4 linked regions of the Arabidopsis thaliana genome follow. The protein of the gene in region 1 interacts with the protein of each later gene in a pairwise test. Each region holds a gene or a part of one and is shown on either strand. Other genes may lie near its edges.

Region 1 (7,899 bases):
ATGTGATTACTTTTTTATGATTTGAAGCTTCCAAATATATTGGGTGCGTTTCTCGGAGCAGTCCAAATGATTCTATACGTCATATTCAAGTACTACAAAACTCCACTAGTGGTTGATGAGACAGAGAAGCCCAAAACGGTGTCGGATCATTCCATCAACATGGTCAAGCTTTCATCTACTCCGGCTTCTGGTGATCTTACGGTTCAGCCGCAGACTAATCCTGACGTGAGTCATCCTATTAAAACTCATGGTGGTGACTTAGAGGACCAGATGGACAAGAAAATGCCAAACTAAGTCAAGATTTAGTTTTCAATTATGAATTAGTGATTGACTTTAATGTTGAACTGTTGAGTCTGGTTTCCTAATTTGTCTTTTATTTTCTCATCATCTTCTTTCGAAATATCTCGAAATTGTACTATCCTTCAAAAATTTATGTGCGTCGTTTAGAATTTTGTAAAATAGTTTTTGATGCCTCTGTTCTCAGTAATACTTAAAAGTTTATTAGTCCGGCTAATTAAAAAGGAAATGAAAATTCAAAGTAAGTTAGATAAACATGATCATTCACAGGTCAGATGTTTTAAAAAAAAATCATTATGGTGTACATCACATGTAGACAATACTTCAGAATTCATCTGGACTACCAGAATTGAGTTACCTAGTACTTCTCAATTCTATTTTACCCTAACGTCTAATAAATAACAAGTACTCTAGCCTCTTCGTTTTATGATTCCTCTAGGAAAAGTTAATGTTACGGCCCAATCACTTTTTTTAACAGCCCAAACAACATATATTAGCTCCAAATATCATTTTTTCCCCTAGAATATTCTCAACCTATTGTCCACTCAAAACGTGACAAATGGAGGTCTAAAGGGAGACCATACTTGACTCATTTTAGAGCTAGGATCAGACAGAGTAGATTTTTTGCCATAACTCCTTGTAAATGTATTCACATTTCATTCCCAAGAAAAATAGACTGATGAAGAAATATATCAGATATGACAAGGCCGTGTCGTTTAGGTTACGTAACTCTACAAGGTTTAGGGTCTCAATATAAACACACAAAGCAGATAGAAGAAGCAAACCATTCACAATCAGACAATGACATCTCTCCATACGTTACTCTTCTCTTCTCTTCTTTTCTTCATCGTCTTTCCAACCTTCACGTTTTCCTCCACCTTATTGTTTCAGGTTCGTCTTTAGTTTTGCTTCTTTACATACACAGACTCTACACACTCACTTATTGGGTTTCTTTCAATTGTGAAACAGAGTTTCAATTGGGAGTCATGGAAGAAAGAAGGAGGATTCTACAATTCTCTCCACAACTCCATTGACGACATAGCCAACGCTGGAATCACTCATCTTTGGCTTCCTCCTCCTTCTCAATCCGTTGCTCCTGAAGGTTCCATTTCTGCTTTACTCTTTACACATTCACATACCAATCTTGTTACTCACGCAATCTTCATTCCTCAGGTTACTTACCGGGAAAGCTATACGATCTAAACAGCTCCAAATACGGTTCAGAGGCGGAACTGAAATCGTTAATCAAAGCGTTGAATCAAAAAGGAATAAAAGCTTTGGCTGATATAGTGATTAACCACAGAACAGCTGAGAGGAAAGACGATAAATGTGGATACTGTTATTTCGAAGGTGGGACTTCCGATGATCGTCTTGATTGGGATCCTTCCTTTGTCTGCCGCAATGACCCTAAATTTCCCGGTACCGGAAACCTCGACACCGGAGGAGATTTTGATGGAGCGCCCGACATCGACCACCTTAACCCTAGAGTTCAGAAAGAGTTGTCCGAATGGATGAATTGGCTTAAAACTGAAATCGGATTCCATGGTTGGAGATTTGATTATGTTCGAGGTTATGCATCTTCCATCACCAAATTATACGTTCAGGTAAATCACATATGAATTCTCAAATATCAGACAACAGTATTAGTATATAAGAAACATAGGTTGAGATAATTATTTACTATTAGTATATATAAGTATCATAGGTTGATAGGGTTATTTACTACTATTTAGTATATAAGAAACATAAGTCAATGCAATCAATAAGAAATATATAAGAAAGTTCACTACTGATTATGTGATAAATTCCTCTGTTTTTGGATACACAGAATACATCACCGGATTTTGCGGTGGGTGAGAAATGGGACGATATGAAGTACGGAGGAGACGGGAAACTAGACTATGATCAGAACGAGCATCGGTCGGGTCTCAAACAGTGGATCGAGGAAGCGGGTGGTGGTGTGTTGACAGCTTTTGATTTCACCACCAAAGGGATCTTACAGTCTGCTGTCAAAGGTGAGCTTTGGAGACTAAAGGACTCGCAGGGAAAACCGCCTGGTATGATAGGAATCATGCCCGGAAACGCTGTCACATTCATAGATAACCATGATACATTCAGAACGTGGGTTTTCCCTTCTGATAAAGTCTTGCTTGGATACGTTTATATACTTACTCATCCAGGAACTCCTTGCATTGTAAGTATCATTTTAGTATGTAGCTATACTATTTACAACTACAATCTTGTTGATATGTTATTTTTGTTGCAGTTTTATAATCATTACATAGAATGGGGACTAAAAGAGAGCATCTCAAAGCTGGTGGCTATCAGGAACAAAAATGGGATTGGTAGCACAAGCTCTGTAACGATAAAAGCGGCAGAGGCGGATCTCTACTTGGCTATGATTGATGATAAAGTTATCATGAAGATTGGACCAAAGCAAGATGTGGGAACACTTGTTCCTTCTAATTTTGCTTTAGCTTATTCAGGCCTTGACTTTGCTGTCTGGGAGAAGAAGTAACGCATAACTCGAATCATAAGAAAAGTAATCGAATGTATCTTCTTCCTTTTTAATAAAACATTTTGGCAGTATCTAAAGATATGTATAATGAAATATAAAATGATAAAGAATACCTAAATAAAAAGAGCACTAGTGGTGTTAAAGGATACAACTCCAGTGAAAGAAAAGAGTTCAAGTGAAGAAGTGTCAACTTGTAGAAATAAGTATTGGAAAGTTTCCATCGTTTTGTTTTGTTGCATACAACTAATATATTATATATTGGCCGACTCGTATAAGATTTGGAGCCCTACTAAAATCAGAATTATGATGTCTTAACCACACAATACTGCCAAAATCAGAACGAATTATATTATTGTAGAAGAAGAAAAAAAAAGTATGGTGGGAAGTGGGAACAGTTAGACAGGTAAATTCGAATAAAACGACAGCGTTTTTGGCTAGGACAATAAAAGTTGAAGACGTCGGCTTGAGAAGAAGTAGAAGTGACGACGAAAAGAAAGGGGAAAAAAAAAAGGAAGGAAAAAAGTGAAAACCGTCGGCTTGAGAAGGAACTTTGATATTTGGTGACTCTTGAAAAAAGCAAGCTCTTTCTTCTTCCTTCTTTCGCTTTTTTCACACCTCAAAATCAAAGATCCGAAACACGATTTCGGAGGAAGCTTCGATTCTGTGTGTTTGATTCTTCCTCTTTTTTGTTTTTTGTTTTTTTGTTCTATCCCGTTTCGAAGCGAGCTCTGATTCTCGTTCCTGTCTACTTTTTTTCAGACCTATTTTCAGATCTGAAATAGTTGTGTTTGAGAAGCGGGATTGGTGATCGGAGCTGGAATTTGGTTGGTAATCGGAGGTCAGAGAGAAGTCAACGGATATGCCGGAGGAAGAATCGATAGATATCAAATTCAGGTTGTACGATGGCTCCGATATCGGGCCTTTTCGGTATTCTGCGGCTTCTACTGTTGACTTTTTGAAGCAGAGGGTCGTCTCTGATTGGCCCAAAGGTTAGTTTTAAGGTTTTTTGAATCGGTGCCCCTTTTTCCCCAATCTGATCCTGGTTTTATTCATGATCTTCCCACGAATTTCGTGTTGATTGTCACTGAATCCTGCAATTGTCGGTAGAAATTCGAAATTTAGAGCTGTAGATGAATTATTATTAGCTCATTTGAGATGTTATAAGCTTGATGTATGAGAAAAGCCAAGTCTCTGTGATTTGAGGTTGATCCAAGCATCAATTTTTTTGTGGTTTTGGTTAGGCAAAACAGTTGTTCCAAAGGGGATAAACGAAGTGAAGCTGATAAGCTCGGGTAAGATCTTGGAGAACAACAAGACTGTTGGGCAGTGTAAGACACCATTTGGAGATATTGCTGGTGGAGTCATTGTGATGCATGTTGTTGTACAGCCTTCTCTAGCTAAATCCAAAACAGGTAGTTGTTTGTCTATGTGTAATGTTCTTCATGTCTTTTATATCAGAGAATTCCCGTTTCATGGAGATATATGTGTCCTTAGAGGTTCCTCAATCTTTCATTAGTCTTGTGGTATTTATCTTGTCAACTGTATGGATTATGGTATTCATTTATCTGGCTCAACTTTACGTCTTATAATATCTAGCTCTAGTCATACTTATATTAATTGAGGCTGGTAAGATTTCGTAAGAGTGTTCATGCACATCAGAAAGTTAGTCGGTGACTAAGATCAGTACATTCTTTTTCTTTCTAACAGCCTATGGTACTGACTCAATCAACCTATCAGGTGATTAGTGGTTTTGTCTAAATTTGGTTTGTTTGTCTTGAGAGAGAGTAAAGGATACCCTAGAATTCATTCCTAGGTTTCTGGTGTGTTCTTTGTGTGAAATAAAGCAAAAATCAGCTCTAAGCTTAGCAAAGCATGCCATGAGGAAAGGAATACCTGAATTCATTATTGGTCGTCATCTCCTTGTAAACCCCACTGAAAACTTTTGCCAGTCTTTGAGATTTGTCTGCATAATTTGTTTTTTCACAAACTTGAGAAAGTCGTGGAAAGTGAGTTTGTGATTACTAAGACGTTTGTTGATGAAAGCTAACTAACAGTTGAATACTGGTTTTTGATTAAACAGAGAAGAAGGTTGATAAAGCACCAAAGGCAGTAATCTGCACATGCACCATTTTGTGAAGGGAGGAAGACCAATGTATCTATCATACACATCGTTTCAATTCTTCCGGTACAGAAGAAAACAAAATCAAAAAAAGAAAGCTAAAAGTAAAGTAAAGCTTCCCTTTAAGCTGTGGAGTTATTTATCATCTTTGAATGTGTAGAAAATGAACTATAAATTCTTTTCAAGTAACTCTTTGTCCCTTATTTGTTTTTTCTTCTTACTTTCCCAATGTATGGAAGCTGTATAGGTTACTAGGTCCATTACGTTACGTGTGATGAAGATAATTATATATCTATCTATTTTTAAAAAAGATTGTGCCTTTGTATTTTTCGTTCTTCCTTTCACACCGTTTTAGTATAGGTGAATTTGCGAAATGGCCAAATTCTGGCTGGCCCGTAAATGTAATTAATGAATTCATGAACTCTGAACATCACTTCGAACAGAAAATTCATCTCTTTTTGTTTTAGGTTGGGAAAAGGTAAGAGGATGGAGTTGCGGTTCCGATCAGACAGACAGGAAGAGTAGTGATGGATGAAGGCGACGTAGTCTCGAACAGAGGCATGATGTAATAACACATGATATATGACACAAGTCATAACCTAGCTACTTATAAATACCAACATAAACTAAAAAAAGTCATAACAATGGTATGTACTTATCTACATTAAAAAAAAAAAGAATTGCAGAAAGATGGCAATATGAAACTAAATTGAATCAAACACATGTACTACAAACAATAGTTAAAAATATCAAAACACAAGTAAAACAACCTAGTTTTAACATTTAAAACGAGGAGAAAAAAAACCAAAAAAGGGAGCCAAGCTTTATGCGTGGCGCTAAAAAGATTGGGCTGTTGATGGATAAATTATGATAGGGCCCAATGGAAAAAGAGAGCTGTCGGTAAACCCTAGACACGAAAGCCGGTGACGAATCGTCCGGTCAATCTGAGTAGTATAAGCGTATACGACATGTATAAGTAGCTAACTACGGTATTTATACTGTATGAGTTGGTAGTTAAAGAGTCATAATGACGTTAATGTCATATTACCAAAACAAGGAGCTTGGAGATAAACAAGCGTAAAAACCACACACTATAATAGCATTAAAGTAAAAACGAGCTGGAAGCATTTTCTTTAGAATATTTTCTTCCTGCACCTCCTCCTCCATTGACGAACACCACTGAGACCACACTTTTAAATTTTATTTTATTTTTAAAGAAGAAGAAGAAAAAGACGAAGAAGAAGTGCAACCAGGAATTGCAACCAACCTCATCCGATGGATAGATAAATATATTCGTAATCAGATCTGGACAATTCAATCAACCGAGGACAGACGCTACGACAGTCGACAAAGGCTGGTTTGCTTCACGAGACTAAGCTGCTTTCAGTACTCAGTTCCTCAGGTAAAAGCTTTGTGTTCTATTTTTATTTTCCTAGGCAATGGTTTTTAAGTAATTTCTACTAAAAACTTAAGAAAAACGGATCTAAAACGTTTTTTTTTTTTTTTTTGAATATAATTTAACCAAAAAAAAAAGACGTAGAAGAAGAAGAAGCCATGATCATAACATCCTACCAGTAGTTGCGGCTGTTTCAATTCAGATTGGTTTATCCATAATGTCGGTCATTGCAAAGTATGCTCTAGATTACGGGCTTTCTCCGAGAATCTTTGTTGCTGCGCGTCTGGTTATTGCATTTTCAATTCTATCACCCCTTGCTTTAGTATTTGAGAGGTACCAACCATAACTTATTGTATGTTTTCTCTGTTTTTTTTGTTGTTTTGTTTTGTTTCTGGTGCTAATAATAATCTCAAATCTATAGGAATACAAGACCTGACTAAAAGAATCTTTGCTCAGATAGTTATCATGAGCATTTTCGAGTAAGTTACTTATAGTTTGTATGAATCATCACATTCATCAATATATTAGAGGTTTAATCAAATGTTTTCTTACAGGCCACTATTGGAGCAAAACTTGTACTATACAGGCATGCAGCTCACAACGCCCACTTTCACTTCCGGAATGTTCAACCTACTCCCGGCCATTACATTTGTGATGGCCTGTATATTCAGGTAGCCTTCTATTTTCTTTCAAACATTTAGTTCTGTATGAGTAATAATCAAATCAGTATGTGTGTTTTGACTTTAGTTCCAACATGTAATGTCTCGTACCCTTTTGCAAGGTTGGAGAAAGTGGCTATTCACAGTCATCGAGGAAAAGCAAAAGTTCTTGGAACGTGTGTGGCGGTTGCTGGAGCAATGCTGATGACATTTTGGAGAGGCCAGGTGATTCCATTGCCATGGAACAGCTTGCTGCACGCAAAGAAGATCCACAGACATGATGAGGACATCCTAAGAGGAGGGCTTATGCTAGTGTGCAGCTGCTTGAGTTGGAGCTTCTATGTTATTCTTCAGGTAAAAAGCCCAAAGGTCACAATGTTTCTTTACAGAAATTTACTAAGTTGGCTGGCCTTTTAATCTATATGATGTTTCTTGCAGGCCAAGGTAGTAGTGTCGTACCCGGCAAAACTGTCCCTGACGGCTCTCATCTGCATCATCGGGGCGTTGGATCAACGGTCACCGCACTAATATGGGAGAGAAATAAACTTAAAGCCTTGAAACTTCATCCAAATGTGACAGTGTTAGCGTCTCTGGGGTAAGTTGAATTGAATCAAGAAGTCATTTGGTTGTCATACAATTTGTATTGAAACTCATTCTCCACTGTACAGGGATGTTTCTCAGCAACAACGGTTTACGTTGTTGGGTGGATGGCACAGAAGAAGGGTGAGTATCTTCAATCCAATCAATCTGATTGCCACGGCGGTCATTAGCTCGGTTGTACTCTCTGAGCAGATGTTTGTCGGGAGGTGAGCATTGGTGCTTTCCTAACATCCTTGGTATCTCTTAGTAGTCCTCTTCTCAACTCATCTTTCTTTGCTGAATCAGGATAATTGGAGCTTTCGTGATTATC
Region 2 (7,740 bases), on another chromosome or scaffold:
AAGGATTCAGATCCAAACGTGGGTGAAGGAGATAACAAGATTGTGTTCTTCGAAGGGAAGAATCTTGTCTTTGACCTAGAAGACTTGTTGAGAGCTTCTGCAGAAGTTTTAGGGAAGGGCCCGTTTGGGACAACCTACAAGGTTGATCTCGAGGACTCTGCGACCATCGTTGTGAAAAGGATCAAGGAAGTGAGTGTACCTCAACGGGAATTCGAGCAGCAAATCGAAAATATTGGCAGCATCAAGCATGAGAATGTTGCCACTTTAAGAGGATATTTCTACTCTAAGGATGAGAAGCTCGTGGTTTATGATTACTACGAACATGGAAGTCTTTCAACATTGCTACACGGTATGTTGATAATGCCACCATTTGAATTTATACAGTATCTTACATAGCTAAGTTGGTCTATATGTGTATCGATACTCAGGTCAGAAAGGTCTCAGGGATCGGAAGCGTCTAGAATGGGAAACTAGACTGAATATGGTGTATGGAACAGCAAGAGGAGTAGCTCATATCCACTCACAAAGCGGAGGTAAACTAGTCCACGGGAACATAAAATCCTCAAACATTTTCCTCAACGGGAAAGGATATGGCTGCATATCTGGAACAGGAATGGCTACACTGATGCATTCATTACCGCGGCATGCAGTTGGCTATCGTGCACCAGAGATAACAGACACAAGAAAAGGGACTCAACCGTCTGATGTGTATAGTTTCGGGATATTGATATTCGAGGTACTAACAGGAAAATCAGAAGTGGCAAACCTGGTGAGGTGGGTGAACTCGGTGGTTAGAGAAGAATGGACAGGAGAGGTGTTTGATGAGGAGCTTTTGAGGTGTACCCAAGTAGAGGAAGAGATGGTGGAGATGCTTCAGGTTGGTATGGTTTGCACAGCGAGATTACCAGAGAAGAGACCAAACATGATTGAGGTAGTGAGAATGGTGGAAGAGATAAGACCAGAGAAACTAGCCAGCGGATACAGATCAGAGGTTTCCACAGGTGCGACAACAACTCCGATTGGAAGTCTATCAGGATCTCCGTATATACTATAAGAAAGACTATTCCATCTTTCCTTAATGTATTGACCATTCAGAAAAAGATTTCAATATTTCTACAGACGATTATCGTGATTGCCATTTGAGAACCGTTTCCAACAAAACTAGAATCTGTCTTCTAACAATATTTGAAATATACTTGTAACCATTTGTTTCTTATATTGACACTACTGGTCTTGTGTTACATGAAAGAATCCATTCACATTTTCGAAAGTCGAAACAGAATATAATAAACAACACATACCACCATGATTTCAGCTATTAGTAACCAACAGAAAAGACATTCGAAAGTCGAAACAGATCTTACTAGTGGTCCCTCCAAAGTTTATGAACAGCGAGGAAAGTTGAGATGTAGTCACTTCCACACAAATTTGGTCTTGATACCCCCTGAAAAATAGTGGTAGAGCTTGATGAGCAAATAAACTAACCACAAACTTAGATTGAATCACAATATCCAGAATCTTATTCATACAAACCTTCAGATTCCTCAAAAGAAACTTCCTTTACTAATGAGGCAGATGCATTGTACTCAAATCTGGAATGAACACAAGGAGAAACCATTATCAGTATAAAACACAAACTGCACATATAAACCAATAGCTGAGTTTTACGATATGGGAGATATACAAAATGTTTCTACGGACTATTATCGTGATTGCCATTTGAGAACAGTTTCAATCAAAACTAGAATATGTCATCTAACAGTATTTAAAATATAGTTGTAACCATTTGTATCTCAACGTACTAATTTCAGTAGTTATCTCCTAAAAGTGTTAATTCTTTATCTTCTTCCATAAATATAGATATGATTAATAGGTACAAGTGGATCCTCTGGTCTCACCACTAACTAATAGCCAAGTCACTTAAGAAACAGAGCTCACTAAGTTTCAGAGACTAAAAAGACCCACATCAGTTCTCAGTAACACAATACCTGTAGTGTCAATATCAGGAAATGAGATGAAAATAAACAATTCTCATGTGCATGGTATTAGCATTCAAAGAGGAGACATCAAAAACCAAAAATTGCGGTCATAGTTACCTGTTAGAGAGAAGCACTTCAAGTTCATAGTCAGAAGCACTTTTAGTGACATCTACCATGACCTGAACAAGCTCAGTCTTCCTAGTGCTGGCCATGAAGAGATCATATTCCGTGGGAATAATGATAGCGAAGAAGTTATCACTCAATTTGCTTAAACACATCTTCTCTACTGATGACAAAGCAATTCTCCTGGTCATAGCTTCAGTCTCGGGATCAATTAGATAGATCGCAAAATCAGTGAGGATAAAAATACGCCGTTTCATCTTCCCCGAGCCGGTGAACTTCAAAACTTTATCAGCAAAAAGAATCGATGTATCACCTATAACAACAATGAATCACCTTCTCAACATCAAACACATGCAATTCAAGGTGAATCCAATCATTAGCAATCCAAACAACCACATAAGAAACTATAAATCGATGCCACAATTCTACAGCTGATTCAACTATTCCTCCAAGTTCTTCGATTCACAAATTGCCTCTCAATCTCAAATTCATCAAATAAAAACCAAAAGTTTGGAGAAACCTAACCTTGTTTCTCCAGAATTCGCATCAATCCAGGACGAGAAGAAACGTGAAGATAGTCACCACGATGCTCTCTATAGCGAGACGCTTTCCTTCTGACTTTACCTCCAGCGAATGGCGTGTGATCTCCTCCGTCTACCTCACCCACACTTCGATCTTCATCAAAATCAGGTGGAGGTGATTCTTCGCCGTCGAACTTCGGCCCCTTTTGCTCCTTCAACCGGTTCATTCCTCCCGGCGACGAACTCGAAATCGGAATCGGTTAGCTTATTCTCAGATTCTGCGTTAGAAAAATCTCCAAAGTGAGAGAGAAGACGTGGCTTCAAATGATTCGATCGATTAAAAGATACAAATCTCAGCCGTTAGATTATATGACTTCATCGCAACGCGTTTCGATGCCACTTGATTTGAAATTTATAATAAACTCGCAGCCGTTAGATTTCAATACCACTTGATTTAAGGATAGGATATCAACCGTTAGATTAGATGACTTTTTAAGACGATGTCGTTTCAATGCAACTTGATGTTTTAATTAAGAAGCGCCGCGTCGTTTCAAGGTCCACCGAATAATAAGAGGGTTAAAAGTAGAGTCCACTAGTCAAAGAAAGTAAATAATCCACACGGTATTTATTGTAGACGTGAGCACAGAGAATAATTCGTATTCTTCGTCTTTCGTCCACCACCATCTCTATTTTCTTCCTTTCCCCTAAGTCTTGGTTCTTCTTCTCTCTAATACGAGAAGAAAAAGGCGAAAACCTCGCCAATCCGATTACGCGAAAAATCAAAGGTATTGTCTCTGTAGCTTTTGGATCTATTACTTATATTTCTCACGGATTTATAGCTTCTCTGATTCGTTTAGAATCTTTGTTTGATTTTTGATTTTTAGGTTTTTGGATATGGCGTCGAAGCGGATCTTGAAGGAATTGAAGGATCTCCAGAAGGATCCACCTACATCATGTAGCGCAGGTACTTGTTTCGTGTTTGGATTTTGAGATTTCATCTTAAAAAGTTTTGTTTCCCTGAGCTGGTGTTGATAGATCCGGTTTTTTTGTTCGCTTATGCTTGGATTTGTTTGGATTTGTGTGTTTATGTGTTGTTTGGTACCGATCTCGAGCTAAGTACTCGTTTTACTTTTTAAGATCTGGCTAGAACTAAATTTGGTTTATCTCGTTTCTGATTTCTCTGGTGAAGATCTTATAAAGGCTTAAAACTCGTTTCATTGTCTTAGTTTCTGGGGTCTGGTTATACTTGTGAAGAAAAAACTGTCTCTTTGTTTCCTTGTGCTTATGTGGTGTGAGATTGAGTTTATCTTTCTGTGTACAGGTCCTGTTGCTGAAGACATGTTTCACTGGCAGGCAACGATAATGGGTCCTTCAGAGAGTCCTTATGCTGGAGGTGTTTTCCTTGTAACCATCCATTTCCCTCCGGATTACCCATTCAAGCCTCCTAAGGTGATTCCAATATTTTGAGAATTGTTATCAAGTATGTTTTGCCAAAGCTCGTATGTTCTTTATGGTTGCTTCATTATCTCATTGTTCTTCATTATGGTGTGTGTGATGATATCTAGGTGGCCTTTAGGACCAAGGTGTTCCATCCCAACATTAACAGCAACGGTAGCATTTGCCTCGACATCTTGAAGGAGCAGTGGAGTCCTGCGCTCACCATTTCCAAGGTTCGGTTTCTCTTATTCTTTTGTTAACAATAGAAACCCACCTTAAAACAAATACTCTCTATTAAAACTGCTTCAGAGGCAGTAATCTACTCTTATCAAACATGCTTTTGCTCCTTAATCCCTAGTTGAAGTGATAAGATTGAGCTGTCTTCATTAAACTTTGACTCATTTCGGTTGTCTCTGAAACATTAAGCTTATTAGACTCATTGAGGATGAAAAATTGTTGTTTGTTATCGATCAGTTCTAACAACTGCTTTGCAATTAACAGGTGCTGCTATCGATCTGTTCTTTGTTAACCGATCCAAACCCGGATGATCCTTTGGTGCCCGAGATAGCTCACATGTACAAGACTGACAAGAACAAGTACGAGTCCACTGCACGAAGCTGGACTCAGAAGTATGCCATGGGCTAAATGGAAAATCCCACCTACTAAATTATCTCTTTATGAAGAAAAAAATCTGCCTTAATTTCTATGTATGATTCGATAGACATCTCTTTGTGTCCTTTTAACTTTCTGAAGACAGGACCAAATGAAGTGGGTCTTGTTTTAAACGAAACAAAAAAAAACATCATCTTTGTGAAAACTAGAATCTGATCATCTTCTGTTGTTTCTTCTTGTGGTGAAATTATGATTTGATGTTTTCGTTGTGTGATGAGTTGCTACGAGTTGTTCAAATTTATCAAACTAGTCTTCAAACTTATCCAACTGGTCTTCAAACTTATCCAACTGGTCTTCAAATTTACTCTGAGTTAATCGTTGTGGCCAATGCCCGTCATGGTGACAATGCGTTCTGTTGTAGCACGTATGTTGTAGAAAATGAGTTTTGTACCTTGCAAGGTGCGCCTGTGGATTGTGGACTACATACGTGATGCAACAAACATTTTAAGTATGCAATAATATCACAAACAATCCTATATCCATTAAACGACATGTATTATGCATGTTTGAACTCAAGTAGTAACTCAGCAATGATTCACTAGTACAAAACCACTAAACACCCTATTTTGTTTATAAGTTATAACAGTTTTCTTATTCGTATCATCCATCATATCATGAGTTTGACGAAAACATGTTATTTGGTGAAGTCAAATTATTTGACAATACAGTATTTAATAAAATAATAAATAGCCTGATTATGTGGAATGTGAGTGGTATAGAATCAACAGAAAAAAAAAAAAGAGTGGTATAGAATCTAATACTACAGATAATCTATAGATGAATGGGTATGGACTGAACTCAAGTTATGTAGATGGGCTTCGATGGACCAAAGATCCATCGCTCGTCCGAGCTTAAAGTATCACCCCTAACAAATTATCTTTACAAGTCCACAGGTAAGAGAAAAATACATTTAATAGTGTTGTGCTATTAGAATATTTTTGAATTTCTCTTCTCTATAAGAAAATACAGTATGTTACTATCTTTTTTTCAAAATTTATCATTATCCCACGGATCAGTGTATTAGAAGAGTATCAGTTTGAACTTAGAAATGATAACCAACAGGCAAAACTTACTCTAGTTAAGAGCAAAAGACCAAATTAAACATCTGCTTTAAGTTTAACAAAATAAGAAATCATAGGGACTATAGGTTTGATTTAGATATCCATGAAACTTGTAGGCTAAGAACTCTAGACATTCAAACGCAAAATTCAAACAATTGGTGTCGACTGAAAGAAATAAAATAAAAATCAGTGTTCCATGTTTTTTGGTTTAGTTAAGATAGGTGTTCCATATTCCAAAATGTTAAAATACTTTAATAATTGTAACAATGCACGGTTAAAGAGACAATACAACCAATTAACTATTCGACGTCAAAAATGTCGGCTGCATTAATTTCCCTATTCGGTTTCTCCTTCCCTAAACTAGTAAGCAGTAAGACATTCAATTCTCCTTTAACAAAACCAAATTTAATTATAATGTTAATGTATTATGTTCTATTATAGGATTAGATATTTGGAGGGTTCATCTTACTATTTAATTGTAAATTCGTTTTGTAAAATTTCATTTTATATAATGTTGTTTTTAACTATTTTACAGTTTGTAATTTTTTTTATTAGTGAAATAAACTAAATTATATATTAAATGATATGTTCATAGAAAACAAATATATATATCTCCACAATTTAGCAAAACATTTTACAATCGAAATATTTGTTTCTCATTGATTCGTCATTGTGTAAGTCAGTAATAAACAAAATTATAAGGAGTATGTTTTGTTAAAAAAAATTTAGAATAGCTTTTCCTAGGAGTTATAAGAAACTAATAACCGATTATTCTTTGAACTACTTAATTTCTCTTTTATTTCCTATGTCTCCTCTTTATGTTTTAGAGAACACCGGGATGTGAAATTGACAGTGGTGAACATCGATGATGTTTAAACGACAATAGGATTCTTTTGATTTTGAAGTTGTAGATTAAAATTTTGTAACTAAATTTATAATATTTGACAAATTTTGTAACAAATTTCTAAAGTTCTTGTAAGCTTTGTAATTTGCTTGTTTTTTTCTTTTTGTTATTGTAAGCTTTTGAATTTATAAAAGTTTTGTGATTTGCTTGTTTGTAAAAACTTGTGATTTTACGTTATTTTCTTGAAACACCAATACGAGATTTGGGCTTACCGAGGCTTCTTTCGAGGTCTGTTCGGTTATTCCTAATGGTTTTATTGTTTCCACTACTCAAGCACTATCTCAAAACATTAATATAAAACAATCGAAACTACTTCAATTTCCATTTTAACCTTGATTTTTAATTTTTCTTGCTAAGTATAGTTGACGTATGATGGACCACTAGCAGCCACATGGAAATAGCAGAACCACACAGGGTCTTTCTTTCCCTCGGGGTTTCATTGCAGTTGCATTGAATAATTTTGTCTTATACTTAATAATTCTTCATTTGCCACTAGTTAATAACTATTAACTAATACCTATGTTGCACTATTATAAAATAATACTCACCATTCCGTTTTCAGTTTCGCGCAATATCACTTAACAGAAATAAAACAACTTGTTAATATCTCGTACTCATATATTGATTGTTATAGAATGAGAAAAAACATCTTGTACTGTTCAATTCCCACTAGTGATTAGTTTTGTACGAGTAAAGTTTTTAAATTTGTAAATGATGACTTTAATATTAATTTTCTACCCACACCGTAAATTTTCTTTTTGTACCGAAATACGGAAAATAATTTTAAAATTAACTAAAAATCAGCTTTTAAGAAAAAGGCAAAAAAAAAAAACGAGTCTCTTACACGACCACTTCGAAGATGTCTTCCTTTCGATAAATTACGTTTTCTAAAGAATCTAACCATTAGTCTTTTACTATACTATATAACAATCGAATTTTGTTTATGATTATTTAATTTTTCTGAACATGCAAAACCTCTTATTTGAAAGTTGAAATCATAGAAAGTAACATATAAGAATTCAACTACACGTGTCAGTGATTAG
Region 3 (7,883 bases), on another chromosome or scaffold:
TCGTTAATAACAGCAAGTAAGTCGGGGTCGGGACTGGAAATGAGGCAAAGGCCCTTCCTTTGTGTTACCCTCTCTCTGATTCCAGAGAGAAACCAACGCCAACTATCAGTAGAAAGTTCTGTAGTAAACGCAAAGGCAAGCAGAAAAAAATTGTCTGCTGCATCAACCGCAGAGGCGATCATCAACTTCCATTGGTACTTACAGTTCAAATTTTTGGTGTCCACTATGATTAGAGGTCTACAGTGATGGAACCCTTCGATAGACTGTGAAAATGCCCAAAACACACCACGGAAGGATGCAAATTTAGGATTAGGAAAAAGATCATACTTCCAGTCCACGAGGAGTCCATTAGATGAATGAATGGCAGCCATTAACTTGGGCAAATCTTCAAAACTCTGATCGCAATCTCCAAAGACTCTTTTGATAGCTTCATTCTTCGCGATACGCACGTCCGAAGTTTGAAGCTCATAGCCAATTTTTTCTATATACCACTTCTTCAGCTCTGTAAATGATTGTGTGGGATGTATTCTGATCACACGTTCAAACTCATCTGCTTCAAACTCCATATAGGAATCTTGTGGCTCAATGGCACAACTACAAGTATGTGGACAAGTATACTTAATTATCTCGATAAGTCCGTGCTTTTCCATTCTAGCGGCCTCAAGCGTCCACTTGCATTTCCATCTGGCGCACTCAAACATATACTCATCCTTCTCAGCCTCTCGCATTACGCAACTTCGCTGCCCTCTAAAGGAACACCAGTCCACTGCCTTCTTCAGCCCATCAATATCTTTGAAGCACAATCCTACCCGCAAGTCATGATCATCAAGCCACAAACTAGAAAGACACGGTTTGGAAACACCAGAACTGGAATCTTGATTCAAATCCTTGAGGGAGATATTGTTATCCTGTGTCAAATTAACCACTTGCGCCACTGCATCTGAACTTGGATTTTTATCTGTCATGTCACCATCTCTACCGTTTCCAATGTCGACATCTTCTTCATCTTCAATCCACCCGTTACTGTTGCCCTTCTCTAACTTAACAGGTATATCCATCCTCTGTCTTTTCAAGGAACTACCGGGATTTGCCAACAACGGCGAACGAGCAGCAGACACAACAACCCCATCAGATTTCACTTCCAAATACAGTTCTACATTTTTAATAGAAGGATGTTTGCTTGGGACTTCAAGCATTGTCTCCAAACTAGAGTCGTTCACCACAGGCAAAAGTAGAAAATGAAGCATTGATTGCGGTTGAACAGCTGAAGGAAACCTACCGAAAATTCTAACCTTTGATCTCCGATCATTTACATCTAATCCAGTAAGAAGATACAGCTGATCCAACAATATGCTTAACTCAGTCTTTCTCTTAACTTTGATCATTCTAGGAGTTGATCTGTCATATACCCCATTGCTACCATACTCAATGCGACCGTTCCAGTAACACAACACCGGAACCTCCATTTCAGCCATGAGCACACCAAACCTGCAAGGAATCCAAAGTAAAAATGTAAACTTTATTGCTAAATCCTTGTTATGCACAACCCAAGAAGAAACAGCAGCCACCTCCTATCACTAAAACAACAACATGAAAGGCCTAAGTCCCTAAAATGTATGGAATGGTACATCAAATTCTACAAACAAACAAAAAACTAAATACAAAGCAAAATAAAAAATTCAGGGGATAAAACCCTAACATGCAAACCCTAAAAATTATAAAGAACCCCGAAAGATGAAAAATCAATTTTGATCTCTAAAACAACAACAACAAGGCACCGGAGCTGATAAATCCAGCAAAAAATTGTTTTAAAAAACCCTAGAAAACAAAACACAACAGTATAGTCGTCTAAGTTATAGATGTTTACATACCTGAGAAGGTAAAGGAGTATTAGGAAGTTTGGATTTTCAGAAATGGAAGTAATTTGAGTTGCATTAAGGAATTTCCCGGCGATGTCGTCACGACTGAGGAAGACAACTACACTCTCACTCTCGCACAGCTTTGCAGAATAAGAAATAAAGAGTTCGGAAACATCAAAGTGTTGGGTCGAAAATAGAAAGCCCACTAATAAAATTGCCTGACTTTTGACTACGAGAGAGATGATCTAACGGGAGATCCAACGGTTATCAACGAGACAAGTCACTCTGGGGATGAAAATTAAGAGAGTCAACATTGTTCTTTTTTTTTTTTTTTGGTAAAAAGTAAAAACATTGTTCTTTTTATCCCACATTTTTATCATATTATTACGTTTATGAATGTTAGCATGGACAATCCAAACTTTTGTATCTATAAGAGTTCATGATTTAATATGAAATCATTGATTCTTACAAGCAAGGAATATGGGAAAGGTGGAGAAAATTTCCCTAAATTGTAAACTATCTATAATAGGGTTAATATAAAAAAAGAGTCAAAGACTCAACGTATCTTTGGTGTGGTGTCTCGAAGTACTGGGGGGTTGCTTGTTCGCATCGCATTGTTGTTATTTCCACATTTTAGGTTATGAATACCACAAGACTTGAGACGAGAGCTGAGGACATTGGTCTTGATCTTACTGGTTTTAGTTACATCACAAAGACATGGTTGTTGCTCTTTCAAAAATTTACAACATTCGGTCGATATCTTTAATCCACTATTAACAACGTCCAAGCAAGTCTGAATCCTACTTTCTTCACATGATTCTCTGTCCCTCTTGGATCTACTTCCGCCTGCACCGATAGCTTTTGTTGGAAGCGGTAATGATGCCAAGAGAATGACGAATGTAATAAGCAACAATCCGACGGTCTTCATGCATGTATATATAGTTGTTTCTTTTAGATATACCTATAGCAAATATTTTGGATTCCTTTTGTTTTCTGTGCAAAACATGAGAATTTGTTTAGGTATTTCTTGGATAATGAAGGATTCCAATTGCATGGTATTGCGTAATGAACGCGTTTTTCCTTGTTAATCAACATGAACGTAATTAGTTGCTATGTAAATAACTAAATATAGCCTAAATGATTGGCTAAATCACTACATGAATTATTTTCAGTATTTAGAATATTTCATTGGTTAATAATAATACACCATGATTTACAGATTTTACATTCAAATCATCATAAATTAAATGAAAATTCAGATTGAATGAAAAGTTGGATGATCTAGCTAACCAATAAATCTACAGTTTATTGTTTCGTAATAATATGCCTTTTGATTTCGCTTTCCATTTCATAATGAGGTAACTTAATTCAATGGTAGATAAAGTGTACCTTTATTCTTTGATTTGAGGTATTTTTAAATTAATGCACATATGGAATCATTGATCCCTTACAAGCAAGGGAAATGATAAAGGTGGAGAAAATTTTCTGTAGGGTAAATTTATCACTTTGCATTTCATACAAGGGTAAATTTCGAATTAATATGTTAATCAACATCTTCAAAATCATGCAATTTTTATTTTATTTTTCTGCAAAAATGGTTTTATTTCAATATTTTCTCAAACACGGAATTTTGAAAATTTGGTAGCAAATGTCAAATGTTCCCATTTAATCATCGTCATACTTTGTTAGGTAAAAGCTCAAAGTTTCCAGCTTTACATAAATAATTTTTCTTATAATTTTTTGGAAAAAGCATAGAAACAAAGATAGGGAACATATGGATAATAAAGAGGTGAAGTAATGTTTTTGTTTGAGATTAAAGAGGTTTCAAACAAAGAGATGATAAAACATAGGAATCTAACTTATTTCATGGAAGATCCCTATGTGAAGAAGTCCTCTCTCTTTCTCTCTCTCTCTCTATTAAAACCGAGTCTGTGAGGGATCAAAGGACACAAACTTTCATCCCATTGCATATTTCTGAGTCCAGCTTCTCGCAGTAGACTCATACTTTGCTCTATCGGTTTTGTACATGTGAGCAATCTCTGGAACCAATGGATCATCTGGGTTTGGGTCCGTTAACAATGAACATATCGAAAGCAAAACCTATAAATTCACAAGAGATTTGATTAAAATAAGAGGAGATTCATTATATATCATCCACTGCTATTGGTTAAAGAGTGCTTTTTCACCTTCGATATGGTGAGTGCAGGACTCCATTGTTCTTTCAAAATGTCAAGGCAAATGCTTCCATTGCTGTTGACATTAGGGTGGAACACTTTTGTCCTGAATGCAACCTGCAAGAAAAAGAGCATTTTGAATTCCAGTTCATGATTTCAGTTTGGTAACAATGAATAATTTACCTTTGGTGGTTTGAAAGGATAATCCGGAGGGAAGTGAATGGTTACGAGAAAGACACCGCCTGAATAAGGACTATCAGATGGACCCATTATTGTAGCTTGCCAATGAAACATGTCTTCAGCAACTGGGCCTTGAAGATTTCACAATTGTTCATAGAAGGAAAAAATAGAAAGATTAGTCTTTTAAACATGATGATCTATGGCATTTACTGAAATACACACAACAAAACATGTGCCATAGCAATGTCCTGAGACTTCTCTAGCAGAAGAATGCATGAACAGTTTGAGAATCTCCGACAACAATCCTCTAACTCTATTAAGACCAACAATTTCGACGCATTATCCACTTATCATATATTTTAATAAACAAAACAAACATGTATAAACCTGAATGCAATAGATAACTAAGAAAGACTATCAGTGCGAGGTATCAAGTCTGTAAGATCCGTTATGGATACTTGGATAAACAAGGCAGCATACAACACCAAAAGCTTAATTCTAAGAAAATTCACAACTTTCAATAGCTATTTCCTAGACTATGATCATAAGATAACTGCAACGACCAATCTCAACTTTGTTCTAAGAAAAATCTCAACTTCCAACTGTTATCTTATTAATTATGATCAATAGTATCCAGGATGGGTAAATGGATCCCAATTTTTAACAGCTATCTTCTAGACTATGATTATTAGAAAGCTGTAATTTTCAATCAAGGATCAGTACAGCCATAAATTTGTTCTGTTCTAAGAAAAATCTCAACTTTCAATTGGTATCTTCTAAACTAAGATCATAACTTAGCGGCAATTACCACCTCAAGATCTCTAGATAACTTCGTTATAAAATTACGAAGACTAAAAAAGATTTCATTTTTTTGTTTGCTTAAAGATAAGATTATAAGATCTAACAACAAAGCTCAAAAATAGATCAGACACGATTTACGAGAGGAGAGGTAAAGACTAACCAGCACTGCAGGAAGTTGGAGGATCCTTCTGGAGATCCTTGAGCTCTTTCAAGATCCTTTTCGAAGCCATTTCTCAACCAAAAAAAAACTCCTAGATCCAAAAAACCAAACCCTAGATAGATTCAGCAACGCAACAAACAAAGGAAAAGCAAAGGTTGAAAATTTCCGATAAAGGATTGAGCTTTTTTACCTCAAGACAGATCCTCCAAACTCGGTTTTGACGATTCACTTCCTGCAGATGATTTTTGAGAAAGAGACAGAGAGAGCCTTTGAGACCTAACGAATAAACAAAGAGAGAGAAATTTTATTTATGTATGCTTCAAATATAAATAATGACAGCTATTTTCCAGCGAGCCAGAGAATCATTATTGGATAAACATACTTTTAATAAAAAATAAAGGACCCTCTGAGTTAGACAGAGTGTTTCATAGAGGCTTTAAAAAGGTGCTTAAACCCTTTAGGGTTTTTGTCTTCCAGCTAAATCGACTCTGACACAGAGATAAGCAGAGAGAGAGAGAGAGAGTTCTGAGATCAGAATCAATGGCGGCTAAAAGTACGTTGAAGATCAAAGGCAAAGCAAAACCATCAAAGGGATCATCATCATCTTCGTCCTCCTCTGCATCATCAAAGTACAAGGTCTTCAAGGATTGGACCAACTGGTCATTACAGAAAGCCAAAGTCGCGACTCACTATGGTTTCATCCCTCTGATCATCATCATCGGCATGAACTCAGATCCTAAACCTCATCTTTTTCACCTCCTCTCTCCCGTTTAATCCACAAATTGGATCTTCTTCGTAATGTTCTTCTTAGATGCTTTTACTTTTTTTCCCAAATTTGTTCTGTTTTCTTCGTTTTATGAAATGGATTTATATTTGTTTCTGATTCTATAATTCAAAGTCTCATTCTTTTTTGCATGATTCAAATTCAATAAAATCAAATGATCTATGAAGAAACAAAGAATTTGCTTTAATGGTTACTACTACTAGTTTGTGTTGTCTCACTCTGCATCAACTGATCGAATATCTTCAATCAATTTCAAAACTTGAGCTATATGAGGTCTTTCTTGTTGCTTCAGAGCAACACAAGCCAATCCTATTTGCAACATCTCAACCATCTCCTCCTCGAAACCACCTGATTGACTCAATATCTCCATATCAAACACTTCTCCAGTCCACTCTTTAGCCACCACAGATCTTATCCAGCTAGCTAAGTCCATGTTCTCACCTCCTGTTGGTACTAATTCTGCTTGACTCACTGGTGATTTCCCTGTCAAGAGCTCCAGTAATACCACACCGAAGCTGTATACATCCGAAAACTGTGTGCTTCTTCTTGTGTCTGTTATTTCAGGTGCATGGTAGCCAGAAGTAAGGCAAGTGGTTTGAGGAAGTGATCTCATGATTGTCGTCAAGCCAACATCGCCTATGCAGCCATAGCATTGTGAGTCTAAGAAGATGTTTGAGGATTTGATGTTTCCATGTATGAACTTCCCTTCGTGGATTTTAGCTAGCCCTCTCGCTGCACCGGTTGCTATTCGCAGTCTAGCATCCCAATCTAACGGTACTCGATGATACCTTCCTCTGTTTCCTGCAAAGAAAATGGAACCTTGTAGTTTCGATTTATCATCAGAATGAGAGCAATGAAAATAACTAACCGTGCAGTATTTCGAAGAGGCTTCCATGATTGTAATAGCTATAAACCGCGAGCTTATCGTCTTTGGAGTAGTAGTAAGCCTTTAGCTCAGCTACATTTTCATGTCTGATCATACCAATGATCTCCATTTGTTGCTCAAACTCTCGTCTTCCAACGACAACTTCCTTCAATCGTTTTACAACGACCGTGCTCATGTCCTCCATTGTTACCTTATAGGTTGTACCAAAAGCACCCTTCCCCAAAACTTCTGCAGATGAGCTTAGCAAATCATCTAAATCAAATAAGTGGTTTCTTCCACCAAAGAAGATGATCTTCCCGCCTTCTTCAGTGTTATCATCTCTAGATGTCCAGTTTCCTGGAGGAGAAGACGAGTCTCTCTTTCGCAACTTCCCGGAGATTCTAGTCTTCCCGAAACAAGTGATCATTATGAATGATAATCCGGAAACACACAAAACGCAAGCTGCAGACAGAATCAGCAAGAAAGCAAGTTGGCTTAACCCGAAAGGAGTCTTGCGTTGTTTCTTCCTCTCGGTAAGGTTGTTGCCAGAAAAAGCTGAACTTTGGAATCTTTGAAGAGACTTTGGTATTGTACCGATGAGCTTGTTGTTGGACAAGTTGATCTGACTCAGTTTTGGAAGATGAAGATTTGGAATTTCCCCTGAGAATGAATTGTTTGCAAGATTCAAGACTTGAAGGCTAGTCAATCCTGAAAGAGAGGTTGGGATGCTTCCGTTGAATCCATTGTTAGACAGATCAAGAACCTTAAGATTCTTCAACTCCGAGAAGATAGCTAGTAGTGGACCTGAGAGGTGGTTATGTTGTAGGTAGAGATGAGTCAAGCTCTTGAGATTTGTGAAATCAGAAGGGAAGTCTCCGGTGAAATGGTTCTTTCTAAGGCTTAGAAACTTGAGAGAAGAGAGACGACTGATGGTGAAAGGAGGAATCAAACCGTTGAATCCAACCGCAGGCAATCTAACGGATACAATTCGATCTCCGTTTTCGTTGCAGGTAACACCGGTCCAGCTATGACAAACGTCTGAGCTCTGGTTCCAATGGAG
Region 4 (7,610 bases), on another chromosome or scaffold:
TGCTTTTGACTTTAGCTCTAGCTTCTTCTTCACGAAATGCCGTTGTTGTTAAAAAGTGATTTCTCCACTATCCCATTTCCTTTGGCATTTATTCTCCACTCTCTCTCACTTGTCTTCTTCTTCTTCTACGATCAGCTCACCAATGTCCTGAACCATTCTCCTCTGAATCAACCTCTAAGGTCTCTCTCACTTTCGATCTCTGTTTTCCCTCTTGTTTTGGGGTTTATTAGCTTCGTTGTTTATTCCTTTAAAAGATTTCTTCTTTCTCAATTTCAATTACTCCGTTTAGCTTAGCTGGAGAAACCCTAGTTTGTAGATTGCAGATCTGGGTTAATCAAGTATCTGTGCACACATTTATGTCTAAAATTAGTTACTTTCGTAATTGGATTTGTTTTTTTTGTGAAGATTTATTATTTGAAGTCAAACAGATTTCAGCTGATTGAATCAATGTGTGCATATAGCTTCCATAATTTCATATTTTGATTTGAGAATCGAGTAATGTTGCTTTGGACTTTATCATCAGCATTCCCACTTTGGTTTGAGAAATTACGCTATTGTATCTTTGTCATTATTAAGGAAGCTTTTCGTTGTGTTGATGATCTTTTTACTCATGATACCTGTGATGTGTAGGTGTCATTCTTGGCTACTTTATCCATAGATACATTTCTCATATTGAGTTTAGCTTTTATGTGGCTATAAATCATTACATGATGTGTTTTGTGTTCTCTTGCAGTTGCTGTTGAATGAGAAAGCTTTGATGTGAGCGAGCCTGAGAGTGTAACAAAGGACTGATGATGAAGATTATTGCGGCGTTTCTCTTCCTCTTGGTCACGACTTTTGTTTCCCGTTGTTTGTCTGCAGACATAGAATCGGACAAGCAAGCACTGCTTGAGTTTGCATCTCTTGTTCCTCACAGTCGCAAACTCAACTGGAACTCCACTATTCCAATCTGTGCCTCTTGGACTGGTATCACCTGCTCCAAGAACAACGCCCGTGTAACCGCACTCCGTTTGCCTGGATCTGGACTTTATGGACCTTTACCAGAGAAAACATTTGAGAAGCTTGATGCCCTCAGGATCATTAGCCTTAGATCCAACCACCTTCAAGGGAACATTCCATCTGTCATTCTTTCACTTCCTTTTATCCGATCACTATACTTTCATGAAAACAACTTTTCTGGTACTATCCCTCCCGTCCTTTCTCATCGCCTCGTTAATCTTGATCTCTCCGCCAACTCGCTCTCGGGAAACATTCCCACGAGTCTACAAAACCTTACCCAGCTCACTGATCTCAGCCTGCAAAACAATTCTCTTAGTGGTCCAATTCCTAACCTCCCTCCTCGCCTTAAATACTTGAATTTGAGCTTCAATAACCTTAACGGGTCAGTTCCATCTTCTGTCAAGTCCTTCCCAGCATCCTCATTTCAAGGTAATAGCCTTCTATGCGGTGCTCCTCTGACTCCATGCCCAGAAAACACCACTGCACCATCTCCTTCACCGACAACACCAACAGAAGGTCCTGGTACAACCAATATAGGTCGTGGTACCGCCAAAAAAGTTCTCTCCACTGGTGCTATTGTGGGCATTGCAGTTGGAGGTTCGGTTCTGTTGTTTATCATTCTTGCCATCATAACCCTTTGCTGTGCCAAGAAAAGAGATGGCGGGCAAGATAGCACCGCAGTGCCAAAAGCTAAACCCGGGAGGAGTGACAACAAGGCTGAGGAGTTTGGGAGTGGGGTGCAAGAGGCGGAGAAGAACAAGCTGGTCTTCTTTGAAGGAAGTTCATATAACTTTGATCTTGAGGACTTGCTCAGAGCCTCGGCTGAAGTTTTAGGGAAAGGAAGCTATGGCACAACGTATAAGGCCATCTTAGAGGAAGGAACCACGGTGGTGGTGAAGAGACTGAAAGAAGTAGCAGCTGGGAAACGGGAGTTCGAGCAGCAGATGGAAGCCGTGGGAAGGATCAGTCCACACGTGAATGTAGCTCCTCTCCGTGCCTATTACTTTTCAAAAGACGAGAAGCTACTCGTGTATGATTACTACCAAGGGGGCAATTTCTCCATGCTGCTTCATGGTAATATGATGTTTTACATGTTACTCAAGGTTATAAAAAGTGGCTTTAAAGTAACACTTTAGATGAATTCTATGCAGGAAACAATGAGGGAGGAAGAGCAGCGTTGGACTGGGAAACAAGGTTAAGGATCTGTTTGGAAGCTGCGAGGGGAATTTCTCACATCCATTCTGCATCTGGTGCTAAACTCCTCCATGGAAACATCAAATCACCAAATGTCCTCTTAACCCAAGAACTTCATGTCTGTGTCTCTGATTTCGGTATAGCTCCATTGATGAGCCATCACACCTTGATCCCATCAAGAAGCTTAGGTTACAGAGCACCCGAGGCCATAGAAACACGGAAACATACCCAGAAGTCCGACGTATACAGCTTTGGTGTACTGTTGCTAGAAATGCTGACTGGGAAAGCAGCAGGGAAGACTACTGGGCATGAAGAAGTGGTGGATCTGCCAAAGTGGGTGCAATCAGTGGTGAGAGAGGAGTGGACTGGAGAAGTGTTTGACGTAGAGCTGATCAAGCAGCAACACAACGTAGAGGAAGAAATGGTGCAGATGTTGCAGATAGCAATGGCATGTGTGTCTAAGCATCCAGATTCTAGGCCTTCAATGGAGGAAGTGGTTAACATGATGGAGGAGATTCGACCTTCAGGGTCCGGTCCTGGTTCTGGTAACAGAGCCTCCTCGCCGGAGATGATCAGAAGCTCTGATAGCCCGGTTTAGATTGGTTTTAAATTCTCTTTCTCTCATTCTCAAATCATTATTTATTTTTGCTTTTCCTTCTTCTTCTTCTTCATAAACCGTTTATTTTAGTTCTCTATGTCTGACTGCATAATTTATTCCAATCAATATCTGGAATTGTAGTGTAATTGAAACCCTCACCATGAATGGTTGTAGTTCTTAGATTGGTTATAAGTGTGCGACTAGTTTTGAATTTTCATTTGTTGTTGTATGATTCGTTTAAATTAAATCACAAGAGTCTTTGGGTGTTTGAAAATCTAACTGAAATAGTGATACAATTATATGTGAAATTTATCGTCTCAAAAAGATAAACTACATGAGTAAATAAATAAAAATAAAATCATTGCTCTGTATTTTTTGACTGCATGAGTCCTAATTGGTGAAATAAAAAAACTTTTGGCACGAGAATTAATAAATATATAGAAAAGGTGAAATAGGTGAGGCGGTACTTGCTGATAGAATCAGAAGCTTCGAGACTGACTTGTTTTAGATTCTCTGACTATAAAGAAAGGCAAAGTAACAAGTTTCGTTTTCTCCTTTGCACTCCATTTTTATTCTCGATTCTCTTCTCTCCCGATAAAGAAGCTCTCGCTTTGTGTTGTCCGTCCTTCTTCCAGGTCTAATTCCACCATTTCTCTTTGGTTAAACCCTAATTTCTTTCTCTCCCGAATCGTCCTCTGTTTTTGTTTTGCGCGATTAGTTTCCACCGCTTAATAATAGGGTTTCCGATCACTTACGTTTTGTGTTGTTTTGTTCGGTCTCTGGTTCTTCCACTGTGATCTGTTTTGTTCTTAAGTTGATTGTCTTAAGTTATATCCTCTGTTCAATAATATTCTGGTCTTGTTGGGGGTTTCCACAGGTTTTCTCGTCTCTGACGCATGGCTTCTAAGAGGATCTTGAAGGAGCTCAAGGATCTGCAGAAGGATCCTCCTTCAAACTGCAGCGCTGGTAATCTCCCTTTTCTAATCTGATTTTAACCAATTACTTACCTGGCACTAATGACTCTGAATTAGGTTCCTTACTCTCTCACTAGATTGATGTAGGTTAGGGTATCAAGTATCATACTTTATTTCCTCAATCCATGTTATGCTTCTGATTTTTTTTTTGGTAAAAGCTTTGGTTTGCTAGACTCTTTGATTAACGCTGATCTCATGGATTTTGTTGTCTGTTATGCACTTCATATTTACCCTTTCCTGTCCTGTATTTGACAAGTATCCAGAACTCTGCATGGTTTTGAGTTTATGTCAAAGTGTCTCCTTTTGTAGCTCCTGCTAATATGTCTTTATTGATGTAATTTTGTTGTCACGTTGTTTTAGGTCCGGTGGCTGAGGACATGTTCCATTGGCAAGCCACTATCATGGGACCTCCTGAAAGTCCGTATGCCGGAGGAGTGTTTTTGGTTTCTATTCATTTCCCTCCGGATTATCCTTTCAAGCCACCAAAGGTAATGTGTTGTGTTATGAGACTCTTTATGATTCATCGGTTTTTATCATTGATCTTATGATGTGAATCCATCGATCTTGCAGGTGTCTTTTAAGACTAAGGTGTACCATCCAAACATCAATAGCAATGGAAGTATTTGCCTTGATATTTTGAAAGAGCAATGGAGCCCTGCTCTTACTATCTCTAAGGTTCGAGTTTGTGTATCTCTACTCCTACCATTTTAACACAAATTATGTTACTATCTTAGCCAATTTTGTGTGTTAACGCGAGCGATATTGATGCTGTGGAAATTAGGTTCTGTTGTCGATTTGCTCGCTGTTGACTGACCCAAACCCAGATGATCCTCTTGTGCCGGAGATAGCTCACATGTACAAGACAGATAGATCCAAGTACGAGTCAACTGCGAGAAGCTGGACACAAAAGTACGCAATGGGTTGATGATATAAGACAAAGCAAAGGATATGTTATTGCGCATCGGAATAAAATAATAACTTAAAAAAAATGCACTTGTTTGGTTTATCAAACGTTAGCAAGTATCGAACAACTTAGCTGCTCTTACTCCTCTTCTGTTCTGATCACTATAAACTAGTATTAATTTCGATTGTTGGGTCTACTTTTATTCTCTTGTTTCCCTCTCCTCACTTGGTTGCAGGAAACTGCAATTCTAATCGCCCCAAACGCAATGTTTGGACTGTTTTGGTACACTCTTGACATAAGGGGTTCCAATCTACACATGGATCAACCACAACCAAAACCAAACCAACTATGAGCCTTCCATAGTTAGGATTATACATTGCTCCCAAATACAAAACTCGTTCCTAATCTTCTATTAACTTATACCAAAGTTGGTATATTTATGATTAAATTATTGATTTTCTTAATTTTTTTAATATATTTCAAAAGTGTACATGGTTCTAATAAAACACTTAAGAAATTTTCCATATTGTTTACAATAGCTGTTTTAGGAAATATCATATCTATAGACCAAACCAAGAATATCTTTAGACCAAACCAAGAATAGGTGTTTTAGAAAATAAACATATCTTTGGTTGCAATTTTCCAATATCATCCGCCATGGGTCCCTACTAATAGGTCAGGCGGTACTTGCCGACAGAATCAGAAGCCTCGAGACTGACTTGTATTCTCCGACTATAAAAAAGAAGTAGAGGGTTTTAGGCTTTTCACGAATCTCTTCTCTCTTTTGTAGTGGCCTTGAAAAAAAGATTCAATCTCCTGTTGTGGTATGTTTCTTTTGATCCATCTTTCCTTTATGTTTTCTGTTTCAACTACTTCTTAGGGTTTATCATCACTTACGTTACGTATGTATTGTTTTATTCGTCTTCCTCTATGATATGTTATGTTCTTAGTTGAATTCCTTAATACTCATTGTGTGTTGCTTATCTCGTCCGCAGGTTTTCGAGTCTAAAAGCATGGCTTCTAAGAGGATTTCAAGGGAACTGAGGGATATGCAGAGACATCCTCCAGCAAACTGTAGCGCAGGTAATCTCCCTTTTCTTGGCTGATTTTGACTGATAGATTCACACTAAAAACACTTTTAGGGTTTGATATATGTCACACTTTTATTTCATCAATCCACATTATATGTTTCTGAGTTTTTTTTGGTAACGCTATGATTTGTTAGACTCTCTTTGGTTCTGTTATATATATGTACTCTGCATGAACCTTTTTTTTTTTTTTTTTTGTATTCGAGAAAACTCGTTAAACCTTTGCCTGGTACGATTAAGAATATCCAGAGGTTTAGCTTGCTTTTATTTCAAGTGTCTCCTTTTGTACTTCTTATTTATTCTGCCAATTTGTCTCTGTTCTATAAGAAGTATCACTTGATCATGCAGGTTTTATTGTCTTTTTCGATGAATAAATGGGTCTGATTGCAACGTCTTTCTTATAGGTCCTGTGGCTGAGGAGGACATATTCCATTGGCAAGCAACTATCATGGGACCGCATGACAGTCCGTATTCCGGAGGCGTATTTACGGTTTCTATTGATTTCTCTTCGGATTATCCTTTCAAGCCACCAAAGGTGTTGTGTTTTTTCAACACTAATTTAATCATCTGATGTGTAATGAAAATCTATGATCATCAGGCTTATTAGCGAGTGTACGATTTTGCAGGTGAATTTCAAGACTAAGGTGTACCACCCAAACATCGACAGCAAAGGAAGCATTTGCCTTGACATATTGAAAGAGCAATGGAGTCCTGCTCCTACCACATCCAAGGTTTGAGTTTTGTCTCTCTACTACTATTTTTTACCAAAGTCATGTTCTGTAAAAAAAAAACTAGTATATTGGTGAACTTTGTGCGAGTGATATTGATGGTGTGGAATTATATAGGTTTTGTTGTCGATTTGCTCGCTGCTGACTGACCCGAACCCAAATGATCCTCTTGTGCCGGAGATAGCTCATCTCTACAAGGTAGATAAATCAAAATACGAGTCAACTGCACAAAAATGGACACAGAAGTACGCGATGGGATGATAAGACAAAGGTGGTCTAGACAAGGAAAGGATGTCTTACTTGGCAATGGAAATAGAAAACTGAAGAAAAAACATTTACCTTTTCTGTTTTTTGGTTAGTTTTAGCAATGGCTGCTATGATGTGACGATCATAATCGAAAGACTTTTTTAGCTGCTCTTTTTTACTTGTCTTCAGTGCTCTGATCATATTCTTATTTTTCCAATTCCATTTTAATTGGAAACTGCTATTGCAACAACCTCGTAAATTTTTTTCTTTTTTAAACTATAGAATCGTTTTAAGTCTTTACCTAAATCAATAATCTTTAATCCTCTTTAGTATTTTTTTTTTGAGCATCAACTAAACACTATGGCAAAGTCTTCAACCGTATATAATAAAGTCAATTCTTTAATAAACAATGGTACTGCAGAATTTGAGTTGCCGACAGAAAAAAAAAAGTACCGCAAATCTAAAGAATCTGTTGAAAGTACGGTTAATAATAAACAAAACAGATTTTTTATTATTTACACGAATTGATAGCTAATAAAGAGTGAGAAAAAAAACAAAAAAAAAGTGGAATGGACAGAGAGGAGGAGGGTAGAGTGGTAAATTTAGTAAGAAGGGGAAATTGGGTCTGACGCGGTCATAATGGGAGGGAGCTTCTTCTCCAATCAACGATTCTTCTAATTTGGTCTCTTCCCTCAAACACGACGACGGCGTTTTCTTTCATTTCTTCTCTCGACAATCCCTAACATCACCAGAAGAACACAAACACAATTCTTTTTAGGTACAACACAAATTCTCTTCTTCCTTCTTCGCTCTAAAATTTTCAACACATATTTTTTATGATGCTTTTAAGCGTCTGATCGTATCCGATCTCTCTTAAAG

Evidence for each region.
Region 2: the proteins of ATGP4 (region 1) and UBC10 interact in a two-hybrid assay, tested with the Arabidopsis thaliana proteins (one study listed by BioGRID).
Region 3: the proteins of ATGP4 (region 1) and UBC28 interact in a two-hybrid assay, tested with the Arabidopsis thaliana proteins (one study listed by BioGRID).
Region 4: the proteins of ATGP4 (region 1) and UBC11 interact in a two-hybrid assay, tested with the Arabidopsis thaliana proteins (one study listed by BioGRID).

Annotation. Positions count from the first base shown.
Region 1 is NC_003075.7:12,847,025-12,854,923, reverse strand, and holds ATGP4 (Ubiquitin family protein), read left to right. Parts: upstream 1-3,113; 5' UTR 3,114-3,478; exon of another isoform or gene 3,479-3,574; 5' UTR 3,575-3,674; coding exon 3,675-3,804; intron 3,805-4,056; coding exon 4,057-4,227; intron 4,228-4,895; coding exon 4,896-4,951; 3' UTR 4,952-5,273; downstream 5,274-7,899. Other genes in the region: SWEET14 (Nodulin MtN3 family protein), read left to right, coding at 28-294; AMY1 (alpha-amylase-like protein), read left to right, coding at 1,099-1,188, 1,267-1,399, 1,471-1,901, 2,126-2,491, 2,564-2,815; UMAMIT16-psi (nodulin MtN21 /EamA-like transporter family protein), read left to right, coding at 6,548-6,663, 6,885-7,001, 7,112-7,343, 7,526-7,572, 7,658-7,795, 7,875-7,899. UniProt on the Arabidopsis thaliana protein: May serve as docking site to facilitate the association of other proteins to the plasma membrane.
Region 2 is NC_003076.8:21,629,767-21,637,506, reverse strand, and holds UBC10 (ubiquitin-conjugating enzyme 10), read left to right. Parts: upstream 1-3,259; 5' UTR 3,260-3,408; intron 3,409-3,480; exon of another isoform or gene 3,481-3,507; 5' UTR 3,508-3,517; coding exon 3,518-3,587; intron 3,588-3,944; coding exon 3,945-4,072; intron 4,073-4,188; coding exon 4,189-4,293; coding exon of another isoform or gene 4,294-4,320; exon of another isoform or gene 4,321-4,561; coding exon 4,562-4,705; 3' UTR 4,706-4,940; exon of another isoform or gene 4,941-5,059; intron 5,060-5,460; 3' UTR 5,461-5,486; downstream 5,487-7,740. Other genes in the region: AT5G53320 (Leucine-rich repeat protein kinase family protein), read left to right, coding at 1-349, 429-1,054; AT5G53310 (myosin heavy chain-like protein), read right to left, coding at 1,413-1,444, 1,534-1,592, 2,097-2,415, 2,628-2,850. UniProt on the Arabidopsis thaliana protein: Accepts the ubiquitin from the E1 complex and catalyzes its covalent attachment to other proteins. Mediates the selective degradation of short-lived and abnormal proteins.
Region 3 is NC_003070.9:23,831,153-23,839,035, reverse strand, and holds UBC28 (ubiquitin-conjugating enzyme 28), read right to left. Parts: upstream 5,486-7,883; 5' UTR 5,365-5,485; intron 5,287-5,364; 5' UTR 5,245-5,286; coding exon 5,175-5,244; intron 4,560-5,174; coding exon 4,434-4,559; intron 4,345-4,433; coding exon 4,217-4,344; intron 4,151-4,216; coding exon 4,046-4,150; intron 3,960-4,045; coding exon 3,816-3,959; 3' UTR 3,500-3,815; downstream 1-3,499. Other genes in the region: AT1G64235 (Bifunctional inhibitor/lipid-transfer protein/seed storage 2S albumin superfamily protein), read right to left, coding at 2,416-2,787; TOM7-2 (translocase of outer membrane 7 kDa subunit 2), read left to right, coding at 5,715-5,948; AT1G64210 (Leucine-rich repeat protein kinase family protein), read right to left, coding at 6,173-6,759, 6,827-7,883. UniProt on the Arabidopsis thaliana protein: Accepts the ubiquitin from the E1 complex and catalyzes its covalent attachment to other proteins.
Region 4 is NC_003074.8:2,637,800-2,645,409, forward strand, and holds UBC11 (ubiquitin-conjugating enzyme 11), read left to right. Parts: upstream 1-3,212; 5' UTR 3,213-3,426; exon of another isoform or gene 3,427-3,566; intron 3,567-3,668; 5' UTR 3,669-3,687; coding exon 3,688-3,757; intron 3,758-4,125; coding exon 4,126-4,253; intron 4,254-4,335; coding exon 4,336-4,440; intron 4,441-4,546; coding exon 4,547-4,690; 3' UTR 4,691-5,120; downstream 5,121-7,610. Other genes in the region: AT3G08680 (Leucine-rich repeat protein kinase family protein), read left to right, coding at 792-2,073, 2,151-2,791; UBC12 (ubiquitin-conjugating enzyme 12), read left to right, coding at 5,683-5,752, 6,162-6,292, 6,384-6,488, 6,603-6,746. UniProt on the Arabidopsis thaliana protein: Accepts the ubiquitin from the E1 complex and catalyzes its covalent attachment to other proteins. Mediates the selective degradation of short-lived and abnormal proteins.